Oryzias latipes: one gene and its partner. The protein of the gene in region 1 purifies or fractionates together with the protein of each later gene. This does not show direct contact. Links are inferred from orthologs where the notes say so. Each region holds a gene or a part of one and is shown on either strand. Other genes may lie near its edges.

Evidence for each region.
Region 2: the proteins of shc1 (region 1) and inppl1 purify together in Homo sapiens (affinity purification with western blotting; 4 studies listed by BioGRID and IntAct, with this or other methods). This does not show direct contact. The link is inferred for Oryzias latipes from reciprocal best matches to the Homo sapiens genes SHC1 and INPPL1.

The regions. Positions count from the first base shown.
Region 1 is NC_019874.2:18,326,860-18,330,517, forward strand, and holds part of shc1 (SHC-transforming protein 1), read right to left. Parts: intron 2,811-3,658; coding exon 2,691-2,810; intron 1,587-2,690; coding exon 1,533-1,586; intron 1,166-1,532; coding exon 1,114-1,165; intron 574-1,113; coding exon 447-573; intron 366-446; coding exon 218-365; intron 1-217. UniProt on the Homo sapiens protein: Signaling adapter that couples activated growth factor receptors to signaling pathways. Participates in a signaling cascade initiated by activated KIT and KITLG/SCF.
Region 2 is NC_019871.2:21,856,752-21,859,242, forward strand, and holds part of inppl1 (phosphatidylinositol 3,4,5-trisphosphate 5-phosphatase 2), read left to right. Parts: intron 1-209; coding exon 210-296; intron 297-368; coding exon 369-1,095; intron 1,096-1,726; coding exon 1,727-1,860; intron 1,861-2,491. UniProt on the Homo sapiens protein: Phosphatidylinositol (PtdIns) phosphatase that specifically hydrolyzes the 5-phosphate of phosphatidylinositol-3,4,5-trisphosphate (PtdIns(3,4,5)P3) to produce PtdIns(3,4)P2, thereby negatively regulating the PI3K (phosphoinositide 3-kinase) pathways.

The DNA.
Region 1 (3,658 bases):
AGCACACATCGTGGATACAACAGTTTTTCACCGAGATACAAGTAGGGCAGTGCTGAATCATTGCAGATTGTGGGTGTTCATACTTCAGACCATAAAAAAACACCTATATGTGTAAATGACATATTTGGATTTTTCTTCCTGGTTTGTCGTCTCTGTGCTGCAGGCCTCTCTGGATTCGAATGTGCTGAGTTGTGTGCATAAGCGGATGTCTTCTCACCAGTGTGGCTCCGGAGCGGGTCCTCATGTCAATAATTCCACCAGGAGGAGGCTGTTTCCCAGGGAAATTATTGTAGTAAGGAACTTCAGGAGGCGGGGCAATCTCATCATCCTCTTCATCCCATGCAGAGCCGTCAAACGGAGCCATTCTGACAGGAGATTTAAAAAAAAACAGATGAGCAAAAAGAGTAGTTTAAAACATATAGTTTAAGGTTTTTGTTCGAACGTACCTGTCATGGGGGGTGACCAGTTTAGGGGGGGTTTTAAGGTATTGTTTGAAACGCAGTTCAAATGCCTGGCCGATGGTGCTGATGACTTCTTGAGCTAAACCCTCTGTGCACTCCAGGATGTGACATGCTGCAAACAGAGGAGAGAGGAAGAACAGATTAGGAGGCTGTAGCTGTGCATCCTTGAAAGGAATCCAGAGCTCAAACGGAAAATAAGTTGAAACAGAGACAGTGCAGAGAGACGTAAAGATGGCTTGTGAATTTTGATCAAGTGCCTCAGAGAAAGCTACATTAGCAAAAAGGGTTTTCTTCACTTGCTCTTCTATACATTAAAGCAGCGCTTGATGAGCATCATTTAGAAAGGCCTTAAATGCTCCCCTTACATAGTTGTGTGAGAAAATGAACACTAATTTTGTCCTTTTTCTAAATGTTGGTAAATTATTTCATTCTTTACAAAAAAATTGGCTGCTGATAATATTTTTCTGAAGTTGCCAGGAAAATAGTCTGCAGCTCTTTATCACCATGCAAAAAGAGAGAACACAGGAAACGGCTGATTTATGGGCCACAGAATCATGATTAAATCTCTTCATAGAGGAACCCAAGTTCCGTTTTCAGACTCTTCCGTAGGATGTAACCTCTAAGATGGTTTTATTGTGTCGTTTCTGCTCACCTCTATGGTTGACTGGGTCTTTGGCCACATATGCTACGTACTCTGCTGTATCCTAAGGGAGACAGGGGAAGATAGTTAGGGGAGGAGAGGAAAGGGATGGGGGAGGGAAATCAATAAGAGGAAAGAAAGTGAAGGGTAGCTTTGAGACTGAAAGGCTGAGAAGAAGACAAGGAAATAGATCAAGCAAAAGCTGCCATCTTTAAGTCGCAACAGAAGTTAGAGACATACTATGAGCTGGAAAAGAGATAACAGGAAGTAATGCGGACGGGGGCTGCGAGCCACTGAGGCAGCAGTGAATTAAGTGGTATTCATAGGATTAGACAATGACTTAAGACAGGAAGGAAGGACATGCACGGTGATGAAAGATGGAAAAAGCCCAGAGTGCGACTTGAGCTGAAAGAGAGGGCTGGGTGACTCACTGGGTCTCCTCCAGAGGCAAAGGATATGGACTGCATGTGATGATTGGCAATAATCTGTGGAGACAAAGAAGAGTGGATGGAAGGAGAGAAGGGGAAGGAGAGCACACGGGGAAGATGAAGTATGTAGGAAGTGAAATCAAAGCGTGTTTATGGAAAAAAGAAATATGTACTGGTTATATAAAAATAATAGCCCCTTTTCCTCAATCGAACATCTGCAACAAAGATAAAAAATGAAGAAGGGATGGAGCACCTTTCTAACCGTCTGGAACAACCACCCTCAATGGATCAATAACAGCAACAACACTTGCTAATGCTTCACATACACAATGCATGCACCCAAGTTTTTTCTTTTTGGTGAATGGGTATATGATGTGCTAAACGACATGCTCCTTAGTGCTATGTGTTAATGTGAAAGCACTGCACTGCTGTATACCAATCTCCCCAAAGATAGACATCGCTCAGTGGCTATTAACTCATTAGAGGTCTGAGAGGCGCATCACATCCTGCCCAGTGGTAAGGCAAGAACCAAGACAATGTTAGGAAGGATTTGTGCAGCATCCAGAGTAAATGAGCTAAACAAAGTGGAGAGGCTCTAAATGTATCTGTAAATGTTCCAGAAACTGCCAACCCTGTAATCGGGACTATCCCAGAAACTAAACGTTCATTCAGGTCAGCCTTCTCCCATTTCTGAGCTGTTTGCTTTCATGAGTGAAAGCAGTGCTTAAAAAAAGTGTTGCAAAAGTTATACATATTTTCAAAACACACAAAAAAAGACTCAGCAATCCACTCAACATATTTTTTTTATCGAAAAACAAACACAACTGACAGGAGTTTAAAGAGAAAAATAGACATCTGCCGCAGAATCCTTGTCATCTAGGAAAAAATAACTATTGCATTACTGAACTTAAAACCTTTACAGGAAAATGGCAAAAGCATCAGAAAACACTTGCTTCTTCGAAATATGTCTACATTACAGAACTGTTTTTCCCCCAGGCTCCTCAAACATCATCGCCATTACAACTACATCTTACAATTGACAGGTTGTGTACGTCACAGGTTGTTACGCAAGCACACTGATAAGCAGGAATATCTTGAGCTTGCTAATCAATAGTCAGCATAACACTTTGAGAGAGCCAGAAAATGTGATAGCAGTCTAACCTGTTTGCAGTCAGAAGCTAGCAGGTTTAGGCTGCTGGTTGAGATGGTGAGGCTGATTGGCATGCCTGCAAACTGCAAGTTACTCTTTCCCAGAATTGATGTGAGACACCGAGAGGAAGGCTGTGAAGAAGAGCAACACAAAGCAAGAAAGAACTTTACTAAATCACAAGCTGATTTTATTTGGTGAAACTAACATTAATAAGAGTGAATGAGAGCTGGATACATATCTGTGGAAATAAATGAGTAAATGCTTTTGAGTGTGGGAGTGAGACGGTTACTGCAACTCCAAAGAATGATCTGGTCTCTAAAGCCAATGACGCCTGTGAGGGAGGCCAGATCACATAATTTAGGCTTGACAATGAATATCACATGGGCCAGGCCAAAACAATTGTGCCAACTCATCAACTCCAATCCACCTCCTGTTCTCACAGCTTTCATCCAAATTTGCTCCAGAATATTTGGAAAATGCTGAGAAAAGCAGCTCATGCTTAGCCACAGTAACCTAAAAAAAAGGCAGAAGTGACTAGTTTTATCTATTGCAGTCATCATATTTTAGCATTTTTTTGTCTGGAATAGTAGACTGCCAGTAATTCACTGGTCAAACCCAGTTTTGCAAGCAGACCGAACAGCTTTATAGACTGTTTGGGTGGATGCTTTTAGTTTTACAGACACAGCGTTTGGAGGCTGCGTTTGCTAATCCATAGTGCTTCTTAAGCCGGACACTGGCTCCCCACAAGCCTCCCCTGTGGCACGGGAGAGGGAGAAAAGAGACCTATAGTGATTGGTAATTACCTGCAAGTGGCTCACTCACCACACAAGTGCACAATTATCTTAAATCAAGCTCTTTGTGCGCTTACGCAAAAACAAAAAGAATTCCAGGGAAGCCATTGGTACAGTTCCATGGAAAACAAGCATTGGTTTGGACAGTCAGCGTATTGTTTGCTTTAGGATTGGAAATCATTTTTAGT
Region 2 (2,491 bases), on another chromosome or scaffold:
CAAAGTTTAGCTGACGACAGTTTCGGTAAATAGATGACAACCAGACAGAAGAAGAAGAAGAGACGTTTGTTTACAGTTTGGCTGTTTTGCTGCAGCTCAACAGAAAAAAAGTTGAAGTGCACTTGGACTCCCTGCAGGGTTTCTGCTTCAACTGAATGTTCAGATGTCTCCTTTTGTCCCGCCTCCTAACTCCTCCTGATGTGTTTCAGGCCTTCTGTGGTTCGCAAGCAGCTAGGAGAGCTGGGAAAGGTCAGTGAGGAGGCGGAGAGAAGCAGCAAGGAGGAAACCGCAGCAAGGTACAGTGAGAAGTGTTACCTGAAGGAGAAGGTTGCCATCTTTTTGATCTTGTGTTTTTTGTTTTTGGGAAGACCCAAGCAGGACGGGCCCGACGGCGGCGACTCCATCAGCAAGAACAGCTTCAACAATCCCGCCTACTACATCCTGGAAGGAGTTCCCAACCAATCCGCTGCAGCTATTTCCCCAGAACTCCTCCCATCTCCCACTTCCAGCAACCCCCCAGCAGCTAAAGTCAACCCACCCTCAGCAGGAGTTCGAACCAAACCCCCTGCTGCACCCTCAGGGCCCCTTCACTTACGCAGAGCTGCAGCAGGCCCCCCAGCCCGGACAATCACTGAAGAGGGCTCCTCAGAGGACGATGGAGGTTCCTGCGTGGCGGGGGCACAGGGAGGAGGTGCTGGGAGCACTTTGAATCGGCCCCCTCCTGACTTTCCCCCTCCTCCTCTGCCTAAAGGAGCCCTGGAGATGGTAACGGAGGCCCCATTTAACAAACCCCGCCCCCTGTACCCAGATCTGGCTGAAGTCAGGATCCCACCAGCTGCACCTGGGGGCCCGCTGGCCCTGGGAGAGGGCTTCAGGCGAGGTGGGGGGATGGCGTTGGATGACCAGTCATGCTCCGTGCTGCAGATGGCTAAGACGCTGAGCGAGAGTGAGTTTGGTGGGCAGCCTCCACCCCGTGCTCCCTCAGCACCTCCACCTCTCCGAGGGCAGCCCATGGGGGCGGGTCTGGATGCCTGCCGCACCTTCCCCCCTAGAAACCCCATCACGGAAAGCATCGCAGAGGACATGCCGGAGGAGGTGAGCAGCGTTAAGGCTTAATAAACGCTCCACTTTGATCCTCCTAATCATCCCATAGACTTGTACAGAAGTAAACAGTTTATTACTCAGTCACTCTGTTTGTCAGAAGTACCATTTTTGCTTTGATACTTTAAAAAAAAAACACATTTTAAGGATATTTTTTTCTGTAATTCAAGTTAATTAAGTTATAAAATGACCAATCAGAGGCCTCAATAAAAGTAGGTGGGGCCGGCTGACCCCCATGTCCAACATTCGAAACCTTTGATTGACAGATTTCATGTAGCACAATTTCACGTGGTAGTGGTGTAGACTTCCAATAAGCTCACACCTGATAAGCCATGGTGGTTCCTATAGAAACGACTCAGACCATTCACTGTTTACTGACGTCTGGCTCCAGCATGGCGGCGTCAGTATCACGAAAAAATGGTGACTGAATTGACTTCATTTGGTCGGACGGATACCATTTTCAGTGGGTGACGTCCCACTCAATCCAGTTCTCTGATACAGTCAAACTCCCAATCCCACTGTCAGGGTGGACACTCCCACACTAGATCACTACTGTCCGTGGTTTACATTCCGGATTTCTCCAAATCATGGTTTGGTTGACTGATCCAGCGTTTCATGTTCGCAGGCCCTTTGGGGGAGCAGCAGCTCGTCTCTGTCAGTGGGGGAGTCGTCAGTGGGGGAGTGGCTGCAGAGGCTGGGCCTGGAAAAGTACGAGCAGGGCCTGCTGCACAATGGCTGGGACGACCTGGAGTTCCTCAGGTGCATCCAGTCGGTCCGGAAGTACCTTTACCCCTTTAACGCCAGAGATTTAGCTCCAGTGTTGATCTTCTTTGGATAGCAGTAACTCTTCACTCGCTAATGCATTTAACGAAATTCCAGCAGATTCTGAAAGCTGAGAAAAGTAGCTTTGTGCTGATTTGCAACACTTTACATCCTTAACCACAAAGCTGATGGAGTTGCGTCAACTGCGTAAACGGTCAAAGAGTTACAGGGGTTCAAAGAGTGTGCATATTATCCAATGACAGCTGAGTAGCACGCCCTCTGAACTCAGAACCAGCTGATTCTGAGGTGCAGAAATGTGACTTTTCACATCAACTTTGCACCGAAATGCAACACATTACTGCAAGGTGTAGCATAGTGGCGCAAAGCTGTTCGTGCATCAGAATCAGTGGATTTACATTGATTTACTTCACTACTGAAGTGTTGCATATCAACGTAAAGCTGCTTATTTCTGCCTTATAATCTGCTGGAATTATGTCTTTAATTGCGTAAACAGTTGAAGAGTTGGGGAAATCGAAAGAATGTCAAAACAAGAGCTAAAGCTTCGGTATTGAAGGGTTAAACCTGATAGAAATATTTAGCAAGAACTATATTCAGAAACTGTAAAAAA